Ovis aries: one gene and its partner. The protein of the gene in region 2 binds, or shares a complex with, the protein of the main gene of each other region. Links are inferred from orthologs where the notes say so. Each region holds a gene or a part of one and is shown on either strand. Other genes may lie near its edges. The genes, in order: BRPF3 and KAT6B.

Region 1 (3,820 bases), on a different chromosome or scaffold from region 2:
CGTTAGCTCTCTCCCCATGTTTCCCTGTAGTGATCTGTACTTTTTTGTCCCTTCAGTCAGACAGAGCTCCTCAAGGGTAGGGATAACGTATGTTTGGCTTCTCGTTTCATTCAGCTAACACTTGTTGGAGATACAACAGGAAACAAGACAAGCAAAAATCCTTCTCCTCATGGACCTTACATTCTAGTGCTGTACTGTGCTAAGTCACTTCAGTTGTGTCTGGCTCTTTGCGACCCAATGGGCTGTACCCTGTCAGGCTCCTCTGTCCACAGGATTCTCCAGCCAAGAATACTGGAGTGGGTTGCCATGTCCTTTAGGGGATCCCAGCCCAAGGATTGAACCTGCATCTCTTCTATCTTACATCTCCTGCATTGACAGGCAGGTTCTTTACCACCAGTTCCACCTGGAAAGCCCACATTCTAGTGGAAGGAAGAAAATATACATGGCAAATAAGTAAATTAAATAGCACAGCAAAAATTGGTGAGTGTAAGTAACAGTGAAAAACAAAGCAGGATGAAAGATGACTGATGAGGGAAAGAGATTTGCAGTTTTGGGTAGAATGGTCAGAGAGGGACTGACTGAGAAGCACTGTTTATGGAAAGGCTTGGAAGAGGTGAAGGAGCAAGCCATTATAAATGATGCCTGAAGGGTAGGGTGCTCAGGCTGAGGAAATAGCCAGTTTACCAGTGGCCACCTGATCAGAAGGAAAGGTGAATGAGTGCATGCGTGCCTAACCATCCAGCTCAGTCTCCTGGCCTTCTCTCCTTAGGTCTGTCTCATTGGTTCCCAGGTGCCATGAGGAAGCCTCGCCGGAAGTCGCGGCCGAATGCCGAGGGCCGGCGCTCCCCATCCCCCTATAGTCTGAAGTGCTCACCCACTCGGGAGACCCTGACGTATGCCCAGGCCCAGCGGATTGTGGAGGTGGACATCGATGGACGCCTGCATCGTATTAGCATCTATGATCCGCTCAAGATCATCACAGAGGATGAGTTGACTGCCCAGGATATCACCGAATGCAATAGTAACAAGGAAAACAGTGAGCAGCCTCAGTTCCCTGGCAAGTCCAAAAAACCCTCATCCAAGGGCAAAAAGAAGGAGTCCTGCTCCAAGCATGCATCTGGCTCTTCCTTCCACCTCCCGCAACCCAGCTTCCGCATGGTGGACTCAGGCAGTCAGCCAGAAGCACCCCCGCTGCCTGCTGCTTACTACCGCTACATTGAAAAGTCACCTGAAGATCTGGATGCAGAAGTCGAGTATGACATGGATGAGGAGGACCTCGCTTGGCTGGACTTGGTAAACGAGAAGCGGCGAGCAGATGGGTACAGTTTGGTGTCGGCAGACACCTTTGAGCTGCTGGTGGACCGGCTTGAGAAGGAATCGTACCTGGAAAGTCGCAGTAGTGGGGCCCAACAGTCACTCATTGATGAAGATGCTTTCTGCTGTGTGTGCCTGGATGATGAATGCCACAACAGCAACGTCATTCTCTTCTGTGACATCTGCAACCTGGCTGTCCACCAGGAGTGCTATGGTGTCCCCTACATCCCTGAGGGCCAGTGGCTATGCCGCTGCTGCCTACAGTCTCCCTCCCGGCCTGTGGATTGCGTCCTCTGCCCCAACAAGGGTGGCGCCTTCAAACAGACCAGTGATGGGCACTGGGCCCATGTGGTGTGTGCCATCTGGATCCCTGAAGTCTGCTTTGCTAACACCGTGTTCCTGGAGCCCATTGAGGGCATCGACAACATCCCACCTGCCCGCTGGAAACTAACCTGCTATATCTGCAAGCAGAAGGGGCTAGGTGCAGCCATCCAGTGCCATAAGGTGAACTGCTACACGGCCTTCCACGTGACGTGTGCACAGAGGGCCGGGCTCTTCATGAAGATTGAGCCTATGCGTGAGACCAGCCTCAATGGCACCATCTTCACAGTGCGCAAGACTGCCTACTGTGAGGCCCACTCACCGCCAGGTGCTGCCACTGCTAGGAGGAAGGGCGACTCTCCTGGAAGCCTGAGTGAGGCAGGGGACGAGGAAGGGCTGAAGGAGGCCTGTGAGGAGGAGGAAGAAAAGGAAGAGGTAGAAGAGGAGGAGGAAGGTGAAGGGCAGGGTGGGGTAGGTGGCCCCCTCAAGGGAGTGTCCAAGAAGAACAAGATGGCTTTGAAGCAAAGGATCAAGAAGGAGCCAGAGGAAGTGGGTCGAGACACGACCTCCACTGTCCCCATGGTCACTGTCCCACGGATACCCTCTTACAGGTGAGCCTGCCCAGGATGTCTCCCTGGGGACACATGGTTTCTTCTTGGGCTGGTGTTGGCCCTGAGCCAGACCTCCTTCCCTAATGTTGGTGAATTCCTGTTCTCTTCTGTGCTCTCAGATTTAGATTTCTCCTTTGGACCCTGGGCTCGCCCAGTCTGGTTTGTGGTTTTGATTGTGCCCTTCAAAGCAATGTATTTCCTTTGGTTCAAGGTGAGACACACACTTAAGTTGCTTAGAAACCCAGGCGACGGGATGTCTAAGGTAATATTTCAACAGGGCACCAGTGGCATTTTCGATAGGAGGTAATTCATTATTAGGACCATCCCATACATTTCTTGATGTTTAGCATCCCTGGTCTGTGTGAGTGCCATTCACATCTCCTCCCTAATTGCCTCATCTTTGTGACAACCTCAGATGCTCCCTACATACGTTTCTAGTAACCTTATGGGGATTGAACTACTTCCAATTGAGAACCTCTGTTTCAAAGGGTCAGTATGGGTATCTGCTGTCCAGAAAGCTCCATCCTGGGAATGATGGGGACTTTGCATAAGAGGGTTATTGTGTGGGAAAGATATGTTGTGTCTCCTCCTAAGAAACTTTTAGATGTAGAGGAAAGATCAGTTCTGCAGTATAACTAAGAAACTTTGGCTCCCACCAAGCCTGTTTTAAATAATCAGAGAGGTATCTGGAGCTGTTGGAGGGATGGGAGCTTGGCAGAGAAGCAAGAGACAGGGAAGATTTTCCATTGGAGGCTCATCTCATTGTTGATGTTCATTAAAAAGACTGCAGTGTTAGAGCAGGAAGGAGTCTCGGAGATTATTCATCTAACATAGTCCTTGCACCTTCTCCCACACCCCCAGATGAAGAAACTGCGGCCACGGGAGGTAAAGTTGTTCACTCCTTTATTCATTCAACGAGATGTTTATTGAGCACTTACTATATGCCAAGTCCTGTTCTAAGGGCTGGAAGGAACCAAGGGAAAGTGACAGACCCTGGACCACCAGCTGGGGCTCATGATGCCTTTAGGTTCTGTTCCTGTTGTCTGTCTGTCTCTCTTTGTGTAAGAGACAGGGAGAAAGGAGTACTGGTGGGCAGAGGAAAGTGAGTTGTTTGCGGGAAGCAGGCAGTCAGACTTGTCCATCTGGAAAGAAGACAAGAAGACAGAAGATCCAGAGGGAGAGGCTCTTGTGAACCATGATTGGAGTTAGATTTAGTCAATAGGAAATGGGCCCTCTAGTCACAGAGCTGTTCTAGGCTCCCCGCTTCTGTTGGATGAGTGGGTCCATGCTTAGTCCCCTGGTGGTTATGCCCTGGGGCTAGACTTTTTGGTTGTCAGGTCTGCTCTTGTAGGTGGTTTCTTGCAGGGTCCAGCAGGGTCCTGCTGACTAAGAACCAGAGAGACCTGCATTTGAACCTTGAACTTCTGTCACTACCAGTGTGATCTTTGGCAAGTCGCTTAACTTCTATTCAGCCTTAGTGTATTTATTTGTAAATGAGCCTACCTTAAAGGGTTATTGGGAGAAATCAGTAAGATAGTATAAGTAAAGCACTCAGCACAGTGCCTGGCAAATAG
Region 2 (3,557 bases):
TGGGCAGTATCGAGAGCACAACCGAGAACTACGAAAACCCCAGCAGCTATGATTCTACTATGGGCGGCAGCATTTGTGGAAATGGCTCTTCACAGAACAGCTGCTCCTACAGCAACCTCACCTCCAGCAGTCTGACCCAGAGCAGCTGTGCTGTGACCCAGCAGATGTCCAACATCAGCGGGAGCTGCAGCATGCTGCAGCAGACCAGCATCAGCTCCCCCCCGACCTGCAGCGTCAAGTCTCCTCAAGGCTGTGTGGTGGAGAGGCCGCCAAGCAGCAGCCAGCAGCTGGCGCAGTGCAGCATGGCTGCGAACTTCACACCGCCCATGCAGCTGGCCGAGATCCCCGAGACTGGCAATGCCAACCTTGGCTTATATGAACGGATGGGTCAGAGTGATTTTGGGGCTGGGCATTACCCACAGCCGTCAGCCACCTTCAGCCTTGCCAAACTACAGCAGTTAACTAATACACTTATTGATCATTCATTGCCTTACAGCCATTCCGCTGCTGTAACTTCCTATGCAAACAGTGCCTCTTTGTCCACACCATTAAGTAACACAGGGCTTGTTCAGCTTTCTCAGTCTCCACACTCCGTCCCTGGGGGACCCCAAGCACAAGCTACCATGACCCCACCCCCCAACCTGACTCCTCCTCCAATGAATCTGCCACCACCTCTGTTGCAACGGAACATGGCTGCGTCAAATATTGGCATCTCCCACAGCCAAAGACTGCAAACCCAGATTGCCAGCAAGGGCCACGTCTCCATGAGAACCAAATCGGCATCTCTGTCACCAGCCGCTGCCACCCATCAGTCGCAAATCTATGGGCGCTCCCAGACTGTAGCCATGCAGGGTCCTGCACGGACTTTAACGATGCAGAGGGGCATGAATATGAGTGTGAACCTGATGCCATCCCCAGCCTACAATGTCAACTCTGTGAACATGAACATGAACACTCTCAATGCCATGAACGGGTACAGCATGTCCCAGCCGATGATGAATAGTGGCTACCACAGCAACCATGGCTACATGAATCAGACGCCCCAGTACCCTATGCAGATGCAGATGGGCATGATGGGGACCCAGCCATACGCCCAGCAGCCAATGCAGACCCCGCCCCACAGTAACATGATGTACACGGCCCCCGGACACCATGGCTACATGAACACAGGCATGTCCAAACAGTCTCTCAATGGGTCCTACATGAGACGGTAGGCAACAGGGGCAGTCACAGAACCCCTGGGCATCTCTCTCGGATTGATCTGCACAAATACCTTCTAAGAGTACGATTTCAAAACCAGCAATTGGTGTGAATGCAAAAACATTTGTTGGCACCATTTATTATTAAAAAAAAAAAAAAAAAGCTGTATGCAGCAGAAAGCCTTATAAAGTTGTTTTTCTTTTTATCTTTTTTTTTTCCTTTTTCCTTTTTGGTACCTTTGTTTCTGTTACTTTTTTATATGAAATTCTCTGCAAAGGAAGGCCTCTCTTTGGACTACATATGGAGGCAGCCACTCGCTGTGACTGCTTCCATTAAATAATGTGGATATCAAGCCCCACCCCACCCCAAATTCTCTGTTTTAATACTGAACCTAGAGCTTTTTTTTTTCTTCCCTGTCCACTCCATGTAAATGCCTTTGCCATTTTCAGTTATTGTATATTTTGTTTGAGGTGACACTTCAGCATGCCGCTAATGTCTTTGTTAGTGACAGTGCATTTTGTAGTACTGTACAAGTGTTGTGCTAACAGTAAGCCATTTCTTAAGTTTTTTGCCTTGATTAGGGTGCCCTAACTTGAGGGTTTAAAAAAAAAAACTATATTTTTGTTAATTATAAAACTGTAAAGAGCTATAAAAGCTATTCCCATTTGGTTAGTCAAAAGGGTTTTATTGCTAAATGTTTGGTGTAAAGTTGAGACCCTTTTCCATTTTGGTGACAGATTTCTTTGGGGAAAAAAAGGCAGCTTTCTGTTTTATAAATGCAGACTTCTGTTTATTGAATGAAGCATATCTCAGTGTTTATCTGTCAGGTTTTGAAACATTTCATATATGTCCAAATACTTGGCAGGATTTAAAAAAATAGTGAATTTGGTGTAAAGTTGCTATTTTATGGAAATGCCTCTAACTTTACATTTTCATTCCATCTGTAGATTTTTCTATCTTTATAAAATATTGGAGTTATTTTTTAAGGAAAAATAGAGAAGTAGCTTGTGAATAGCTCAAACTAAGCTTACCAATCGCATGTAAAAAAAGCAAAAAAAAGTTATTTGTGTCTGTTTATATTGCTTCCTTTTTTGTAGCCTTTGTACCTGTACAGGGTGACTGTAAGGGCCAAGCAGGAGAGGCGTAATCCTTGTATAAAATAGGAGCCAGCGACACTCTTGTATTTATCTGTTCTCTTTTTAGTCAGTCACTTCAAAAAAAAAAAAAAACAAAAACAAACAAAAAAAGCTGTACATTTTAACATAAAATAAATTATGATGAGCCATTTTTAGCCTCTTGTGTCCTGTCATATTATGATTGATAGAGAATGACCAACTGAACTGTATATCATGTCACACCTCAGATCACATTCACATTTCGGGAAAATAAATTATTTAGTGTAAATCGGAGTTAAGAGATTTTCTGATTTGTTTTGACTTTGTGGGAGGGGTTGGCAATAAATAAGAGTAATATCTAATAAAACCATCACATATACCAAATACCTATTTAATAAATTAATTTATAATGGATTTTAATGCTTTTCATGAAAGTTTATTTTATGCTAGTGCATACCTTCTGTATGCCAATCATTGTCTTTAAAATAAAGTGAATTTGTTTTTTTCTTTTTGACTTTGATCTTCATTTGCAAAGGGATCCTGCCCAGATATCCAGCTGCCTCGTTTGTACAGTCTGTATAAAATCCCCTCAGGGCCTAGTCCATTGGTAGCAAACTTCATTTTTATAAACAGTAATACCAGGGGAAAAAAAAAAAAGCACCCAATTTGGACTTGAATGTTTGAAATATCATTTTCTTGAATAAGCATGCACGTTTTGCTCTGTCATGAATGAGTGATTGGATGTTATTTTTAGAGTCTAAAGTTTAGGGGGGGAAAAGTCATTGTTCACAAACATTATGGCATTCAGAGAAAGCCCTGTCTGACTGTTAAAACATTTGATGATTAAGTGACAAGCCTAGAAACGAACGCTTGACGGCACCCGCGTGGAAAGGACAGCGCACACAGCCCGGGGTCACGGGTCCCGATAGAGGGCTTTGCCTCGTGCACTCACTCACCCTTAATATTTTTCTCCCACAGTTATGAAGCAGTCTGGGCTTGGTGTCAAGATTTTATCTTTTGGTTCCTCCTCCCCCAAAACTGTATAGCAAGTGGGGGAACATCTGTAGTAGCTGGAGGGAGGGCTTCCAAGAAGACACTTCTGCAAAGGCTGTTGTCACCAAGGGGAGAAGAGAACGTTTAAGGTGCTTTTCTGGTAGGAAAGGAAACTTCTCCTCCTTCAGAGCAGGAATTGATGGTGTGCTGTTGTTGGAATCAGCTGCTGGCATCGGTTCTAGAGCTGCC

Evidence for each region.
Region 1: KAT6B (region 2) and BRPF3 share a complex: the UniProt entries of both Homo sapiens proteins name them as parts of the MOZ/MORF complex. The link is inferred for Ovis aries from reciprocal best matches to the Homo sapiens genes KAT6B and BRPF3.

What each region holds. Positions count from the first base shown.
Region 1 is NC_056073.1:10,232,155-10,235,974, forward strand, and holds part of BRPF3 (bromodomain and PHD finger-containing protein 3), read left to right. Parts: intron 1-769; exon of another isoform or gene 770-790; 5' UTR 791-795; coding exon 796-2,246; intron 2,247-3,820. UniProt on the Homo sapiens protein: Scaffold subunit of various histone acetyltransferase (HAT) complexes, such as the MOZ/MORF and HBO1 complexes, which have a histone H3 acetyltransferase activity.
Region 2 is NC_056078.1:30,027,160-30,030,716, forward strand, and holds the end of KAT6B (histone acetyltransferase KAT6B), read left to right. Parts: coding exon 1-1,214; 3' UTR 1,215-2,826; downstream 2,827-3,557. UniProt on the Homo sapiens protein: Histone acetyltransferase which may be involved in both positive and negative regulation of transcription. Required for RUNX2-dependent transcriptional activation. May be involved in cerebral cortex development.